2 linked regions of the Sus scrofa genome follow. The protein of the gene in region 2 interacts with the protein of the main gene of each other region in a biochemical or structural test. Links are inferred from orthologs where the notes say so. Each region holds a gene or a part of one and is shown on either strand. Other genes may lie near its edges.

Region 1 (3,649 bases), on a different chromosome or scaffold from region 2:
ACTACTGATACATGCCTCAACGTGGACGGACTTGAAAATACCATGCTAAGTTAAAGAAACCAAACATAAGAGGTCAAAGAGGTCAGGTGTTATATGATTCCACTTATATGAAATATCCAGAAAAGGTAAATTCATTGACACAGAAAGCAGAATGGTAGATGACAGGGATTGGAGTAAAAGGGGAATGGGAGTGACTGCTTAATGGGTAGGCAGTTTTCGTTTGGGGAAATGCAATGAAATTATTTTGAAATTTGATACTGGTAGTAGTTGTACACTATTGTGAATGCACTAAATATCACTGAATTGTACACTTTAAGATGGTTAATTTTACATTACATGAATTTCACCTCAATGATTAAAAAGAGAATATGATTGTTTTTTTCTACTAACCCGATGAATAATTCCAGCAGAGTGAAGGTGCTTGATTCCACAAAGCATCTGATAGAGAAGGTAAGACATTCTTTCATGATCTAGTTCCATCTGAATCACTTGACAAAGATTTGCATCCATGAGCTCCATAACTATGTAACTTCATGGGTGAAAAAAGATGACAGCTAAAGTATACAGTAATAATTGAAGAGTAATATACTAAAAATTTTAATTATCATACTCACACATCTTGAAATTCTTCTAGGGATTTCTGTGGTGTGAAAACATTCAAAAGGCCAATTATCTGCAGTAAAAGCAGAGAAATGGGAAAATTAGAAATTACATTACTCAATATTTTCATTTGGGAACTGCAAATAAATGGATTTATTTATTTATTTTTATTGTTTATTTATTTATTTATTTTTTGCTTTTTAGAGTTGCGACTGCAGCATAATAAGGTTCCCAGGCTAAGGGTCCAATTGGAGCTACAGCTGCCAGCCTATGCCACAGCCATAGCAACATAGGATCTGAGCTGAATCTTCGACCTACACCACAGTTCATGGCAATGCCAGATCCGTAACCCACTGGGCGAGGTCAGGGATCAAACCGGCAACCTCATGGTTCCTAGTCGGATTTGTTTCTGCTGCACCAAAATGGAAACTCCGTGGATTTTTTTTTTCTTTTTTTTAAGCCACTCTCAAAGAGTTCTCTGGTGGCTCAGTGGGTTAAGGATGTGGTGTTGTCACTGCTGTGGTGTGGGTTCAATCCCTGGCCTGGGAACCTCCAGGTGCCATGAGTGCAGCCAAAAAAACAAACAAACAAAACACCTCTCAGTGTAAAATTTTTTCCAGACTTCTGTTCTAAGCTCAAGTAATCTCTCTTATTTTATACATTAAAACTTTATCAGGAGTTCCCACTGTAGCTCAGCGAATTACGAACCTGACTAGTATCCATGAGGACATGGGTTTGATCCCTGGCCTCACTCAGTGGGTTAAGGATCCAGCACTGCCAAAAGCCATGGTGTAGGTCACAGACAAGGCTCAAGGCCTGTGTTGCTGTGGCTGTGGCTGTGGCTGGCAACTGCAAATCTGATGTGAACTGCCCTAGCCTGGGTACTTCCATATCCTGAAAATGCGGCTCTGAAAAGCAAAACAAAACAAAAAACCCAAAGACAAACTTTATGGCCAGTGTATGGGGGCAAACAGTAGGGAAGCAGAGCAAAGAGGCTCTGTAAGGCAGTGAAAATACTCTGAATGATACTATAATGGCATACATTATGTCATTATACATCTGTCCAAACGTATAAAATGTACATCACAAGAGGGAACCCTAATGTAAACTATAGACTTCCAGTAATAAAGATATGTCAATGTAGGTCCACTAATTATAACAAATATACCATTCTGCTAGGAAATGTTAATAATCTGGGAAGCTATGCATGTGTGGGAGTAGGGGGGTATATGGGGTATCTCTGTACCTTCCTTTCAATTTTGTTGTGAATCTAAAAAAATAACCCTTAAAGATTATATCAACAGAGTATCTCAAGATCCATTCCATTAATGAACACTCAATTACCAAGGACCTACATTATATAATCCTCTACATAATTTGTAAGCAAATCTTAAACATCTTCTGTCAGCTCTTACCCAACTCCATACCTCTATATAATTGCAGTCCTTTTGCCCCTTGGTTTTTCTTAATATTACACTTTCCCAACTTTACTACTAGTCCATTAGTACATCCATAGGCATGTCCTCTCTACCACTATTCTGTCTTAATCTTTCTCCTTTATCTGTACCTTTTTCCTGGGTGGTATTATGTATATGTTCTTATCCAAACATCTCTATGGATAATTCCCAAATATGCATTAAAAGTCCCTGCTTAGCTTACGATTCTCAAATTTTCATTGCTATTCACATGACGCTTCATAAAACAATATAAAATTGAATTCATTATTGTTCCTACCCAAACCCCTTGCTTTTCCAGAGTGTCTTCTTTTACAATAGAAAGATAAAAATGACTTTTTACTTTTTTTTTCAATATTTGCACCATAATAAGTATTTAAAAGAATGCTATCCATTTTATCGTCAGTCTAAACTTCAACGTCTTCCTTCCACTCCCTGTGCTACTACACACACTGAGGATTCTAACACTGCTCATGCCATAATAACTTCTAACACTTGGTTCCCTAATGGTTTTCTGCAAGTCCAGCCACTATTTTACTGCCTCTACTATATGGTAATCAAAAGACCTGATCACATTACTTACTTTCTCAAAAACGTAATGCCAACAAAAAAATTCCGAAAGTCTCTGGCAGTACATTCAAAGCCTGCCATGACAGGACATCGACCCACTTCATCTCCTGCTAAGCCATACTAAATTAGTTTAATTTAGCCATACTAAATTAGTTTAAAGAATGTTGTTCTTTTAAAAAACTGTCAAGGCATTTAAACATACTATTCTCTATATTTGTCATTAACCTACTAACCTCTAACTACTAAACCTTCAAAACAGGCCACTTTTGTAGGGCTTGACAACCCTTAGTCCTTGACAGAGCTGAGTATTCTACTTGTCTCCACAATATCTTATGTTATAATGACATTTAACACCCTGTAGTATAGTCTTACTTCCACAACATCCTATTTCCCTTTATAATTGTGGCATATAGGAAAATACTTGACATATATTTTTGAAATGCCTATCTTTTATATTTAGGAATGGGAATGTTTTTCTCAATATAAACTTTATAAGGGCAGAATCTATGTTACTCATTTAAGCATAAAGCTTTGCTTATAGAAGCCATTCAAATATTTATTTGTTCAGTGAATAAATTCAGAAAAATAATTTTCAGATCAGAGAGTAGGAGTTCCTGTTATGGCACAGCAGAAACGAATCCAACTAGGAATCATGAGGTTGTGGGTTCAATTCCTGGCCTCACTCAGTGGATTAAGGATCCAGTGTTGCCGTGAGCTGTGATGTGGGTCGCAGACACAGCTCGGATCTGGCGTTGCTGTGGCTGTGGCGTAGGCCAGCGGCTACAGCTCCAATTGGACCCCTAGCCTAGGAACCTCCATATGCCGTGGGTGCAGTCCTAAAAAAGACAAAAGACCAAAAAAAAAAAAAAATCAGAGAGTAAAACAAATTTGTTTAAGACAGAGGAAATGATAATAAGTATCTAGTGGCTCTAAATGAATTCTTATCTCCTAAATAGAAGAATCATATATTGGACAGACTTGGAGAAACAGTAAAACTCTTCTAGTTAATATCTGGGAAATCCCAG
Region 2 (4,376 bases):
AATATTTAGGGTGGTGTCCTGAGGAAGGGAGAGAGCCAGAGATGGGAAGGGCCATCTTTCCCTCCAAATGAGTCAGACAGGAACCAGGCTGGCTCTGAGGGAAGGGAGTTCCAAGCAAGCCTGAGGTGGGGCCTGGACCCAGTCTCCGTTCAATCTCTTCTGTTCTCTTTTTCAGGGGCTTAGAGAACTACAAGGTCTGCAGAATTTCCCCGAGCCTCGCCACTGACTTCTTCCTACCTCCCTTGACATTAAAGAGCCTGAATGTCTTTGAGTCACGTGGCCCTTCTTTCCCCCATTAACTTCTGCTGTTGGCTAAAGTGCCGTTTCTAAAGCACAATGTTACTGGGAGGCGCAGAGATCCAGTCTGTGTAGAATCTTTAAAGCACCACTGAAGTGCCGCCTCCAGCCTGTTTCCTGGCAGAATGTGCCACCTGACTTTCCGCTCTGCCCTCTCTACCATCGCCTTGGCAACCTGGGCCCCCACCTGACCCTTCTTTCTATTTCCTTTCCTGTGCACTACTGCTTGAATTAACCATAGAGAACGGGCCGATTCAGGGTGGCGGTTTGTTCCCTAAGGCAATCAACCTTTCACTCCTGGCCCTAAAGTTTACCCTTCTCCCACACTCCAATCGTTCCTCAGGTAACTTAAATTACACCCACGCCCGTCTAGGCCCAACCTTGGCCTTGTCCCAGCTTCTAAATAGTTACAGCTCCAGCAATGGGCGCAGGGCCGATCTCGCCCGCCCTCCCTGGTCCGGTCCTCATTCTAGGCTGAATCCAGCTTCCGCCAATCGATACAGAGCCAGGTTCCACCCCTTTATTACTGGCTGCAGCTCGACCCTGCCCTTGTAGGCATTTCGTTTCCACCACTCAACACTCCTTCGCACGTCTGGCAGCTGTCCTGCCCTCCTTCCTCTGCTTCGTTCTAAATTCGTCTTTTCTAGCCAATCGCCACAGAGTTAGCCTGCCCGCCTCCGCAGATCCCTGGTCAGACCTCCTCCCAGCGGGGCTGCTAGCCTGTGTACTTCTATACAAGTCCTGCTTCCGCTGGGCTGCGTGGAGTTCGGCACCGCCCATTGGTGTTTTGGCAGCTGTCTAGGCGTCCATCGCCCGCCAATCAGCAGGAAGCAGAGCCTAACCACTTCTATCCTCGGAGGCTGGCCGTCTTCCATCAATCTCATATAGGCCAATCACTGCGAGGCAGGCACCCCCGGAACCTTGTCAATCGCCCACGGCCTAGCAGTCTCTCCTGAGCCAATCAGCGGTGAGCGTCGGCGGGGCCGAGCACGCCCCCTCGGAACCCAGGAGGCCGGCTGCGTTCCGTCAGTTCCCCTAGGGCCAATCCCAGCAAGGCCCTATGGGGCAGGGTCCGCCTCCCCAACCCTGGAAGCCGCGCGGTCGATCCGTGGCGCTTTGACCAATCAGCGAGCGGCTGAAAGCTCAGCTCCTCCTTTACGGGCCCACGTGAGCGGTGGGGAAACGCAGGGGCGGCTTCTAGGTGCTGCCGCCGCCGCCGCTGCCGCCGCCGCCGCCGCCGCCACCGCCGCCGCCACCGCCGCCTCGGATCCCGGGCCTGGGGGGCGGTGGGGCCGCGCATGGAGCCCCCGCCCCCCGGAGCTGCCAACACCACCGCAGCGCTACGCACAGGTGAGCCCGGGGCCTGGAGGGTTGAGGGCCCGGTCCCTGACCCCACGTATCCTTCCCGCCCCCGCGCCGGGGGATGTGGCTTGGCCCATGGCCTTCTGGTGTTCGGCTCCTCACTGCCACCGCCACGGCTGGTGGACCTGCCTGTGGCATCGTCCCGTCCCTTCGCCCCTTGTAGTGGATCTGACCGTGGCCTAATCCCCCCTTCCTGTTTTAAAATGGATCGGTCTTAGTGCTTGTATTTCTCCCCACCCCCCCTTACAGTAGACTCGTCCGTGGTCTTGCCCCCCAACCCCGGCTTGGAGGGTGCCGTTCTCTGGCAGCGTCTAACTCTTTGACAGTAGGTCCGTCTGAGTGTTTGTATTTCTCAGGTCCTCAAGTTTCAGCGGCCCCCGTCTGTGGCCTTGTTTTTCCCATCCCTACTCTTCCTTGTGAGTCACTCCGTGGCGTTGTACCCCCCCCCTTAACAGGGAGTTAACCTGTGAATTTGTATTCCTGCCTCCAGTCCCCCAGTGCATCAATCCATGGCTTTAACACACACACACACACACACACACACACACACCATTTTTACAGTGGATCAGTCTACATGCTTGTATTCATGTCCCCCTGCATATCAGCCCATCACCCTATCCTCCCTTTTTTGTAGACTGTCACTCCAGTGCCTGGGCTTCTCCCTTGCTTTGAATAGTGGGTTAGTTTAGACCTTTATATCTCCCCATTTCAGTAGCCCAGTCCCTGGCCTTGTCCCCTTCTCCTTATAATCAGTCTGTGTGATGGTTTTTCTCTCTTCCATTATCGTGCAGGAATCAGTGTGTTTCTCTGCTCTCCTTGCCCCTAGTAAATAAGATGAGCCTTTACACACACACATACACACACACACACACCCACCCACCCACCCCTTTGCAGTGGATCTGTTTATTGGACTTCCTGCCACCCATGTGCTTGCCTTTACACCCGTTGGGTACACCCTCGTGTGAGTCCAGTGCTATGCAGTCCCTCCAGGAGGGTTGGCCCTTGGGGTGGGTCAGTCTGTGGCCTTCCCTGCCACTCTCCCTCCTTCTTAGTAGTGGATCAGCCTGTGTGCTTGTTGAACCGAGGTCTTTTTTTACTCTAGAACACACCCCCCTCTTACACACTGTTAACCATTAAAACATCCCGCCTCACTCCAGGAAATGAATACATTAGCAGTAGCGATAATGCCTATAGACGCTACTGGTTATTGACCTCCTACTGGGTACCAGGCTGAATGCTTAATGTTAGCTCATTTCATCCACCCCCTGAGATAGGGACCGAGGAACGTTTGGCACAGGGAGGTTTAATTCCTTACTCAAAGGTGATGCCATAGGTACCAGGTTAGGTTGCCCCTCAGAGCATTTTTGAGACTTTCCTCTCACTCTTCATCCTACCCCCGCCCCCCCCCCAAGGCCTCTCTCCTTAAAAGCTAAATCACTCCCATCTCCAAGCCTTTTGTTTTTGCTGTGCCCTTGGCTTGCCGAGCTGTCTCCACCCCACACCTTGTCTCAAAACCCATCCACCCCCAATCCTAGCAGCTACACGACCTTAAATGGTTTAACCACGGTCTGTCCTCACTTGTTCCCTCATTTGTAAAATGGGGGACTCGGAGCTAGAACCCCCTCCAGCATAGAGCATGCCTGCCAGTAAGCTCTCTGGCCTTACCTCCTACCCACCCACACAGCCCCCCCCCATTCCGTTCCAGTCACACTGACCTCCTCACTCATCCTCACACATGCCAGGTGAGATCCAGCCTTTGCGTTGGCTATTTTTTTTCTGCCAGGAACACTCTATCCCCGTCTCTGCGTGGTTCTTTTCAGGGCTTTGTTCAAATGTCAGCCCGTCCCTGACTGTCTGAACCTGCACATCGAGCAGAACCCAGGCCCCGTCTCTGCCAGACACGCTGTAGAGTTTCCCACTTTATCACATTTATTGTCTTTGCCCATTAAAATGGGAGTCTCCCTGAGGGAGTGTTTTTTTATCTGCAGATTTACCCCCAAGTCTCCAGCACCCAGAAATATGCCTACTATGTAGCAGGTACTCACTAAGATGTTATGGCACACATGCACGAGGAAAAGAATATCATTTCAGACAAATCCGGGTGGGGGGAGGGAGCAGATGAAGATGAAAAGGGCATAAGGGACCTAGTTAAGTTCATTCGGCCAACACTGACTGAGCATGTACTGAGTACCAGGGACCCTTCTAGGCGCCGGGGATATGGGAGGGAACAGACTAGGCAGAAATTCGTGCCTTTGGGGAGCAGACGTTTGCTCAGAGTGGGGGCGACAGACTATATAAATAAAGAAGTCAGATTAGATAGTCTGTTAGACAAGGGAAGTAGGGAAAGTCAGAGTGGCGTCTCGCGATGATCGAAATCTTAGGCACAGGGCAGGCCTCACTTCGAAGGTGACTCTTGAATTAAGGCTCCAAGGAGTTGAGGAAGGGAGCCTTAATGTCTAGGGGAAGAGTGTACTGGGTGGAAGGAACAGCCAGTGCAAAGGCCCTGAGGTAGGATTGTGCCTGGCGAGTTCAAGGGCCATGAAGGAGGCCAGTGTGGCTGGAGCAGAGTGGAGGGAGAGAGGGGAGCCAAGGTCAGAAAGATGTGGGGGCGGGGGGGGGCATCAGATGGTGAGGCCAGGCTGACACCCAAGGTTGAGGGGCGGAGTTGGCGGAGAGAGAAGGGTGTCACAACCCGCAAGGGTAACACTCGTTGAGGG

The links.
Region 1: of the proteins of ELK1 (region 2) and MAPK8, one has a biochemical effect on the other in vitro, tested with the Homo sapiens proteins (3 studies listed by BioGRID). The link is inferred for Sus scrofa from reciprocal best matches to the Homo sapiens genes ELK1 and MAPK8.

The regions. Positions count from the first base shown.
Region 1 is NC_010456.5:89,072,303-89,075,951, reverse strand, and holds part of MAPK8 (mitogen-activated protein kinase 8), read right to left. Parts: intron 674-3,649; coding exon 615-673; intron 530-614; coding exon 391-529; intron 1-390. UniProt on the Homo sapiens protein: Serine/threonine-protein kinase involved in various processes such as cell proliferation, differentiation, migration, transformation and programmed cell death.
Region 2 is NC_010461.5:42,172,037-42,176,412, reverse strand, and holds the start of ELK1 (ETS domain-containing protein Elk-1), read left to right. Parts: upstream 1-1,448; 5' UTR 1,449-1,647; intron 1,648-4,376. Other genes in the region: protein UXT, read left to right, coding at 176-226. UniProt on the Homo sapiens protein: Transcription factor that binds to purine-rich DNA sequences. Forms a ternary complex with SRF and the ETS and SRF motifs of the serum response element (SRE) on the promoter region of immediate early genes such as FOS and IER2.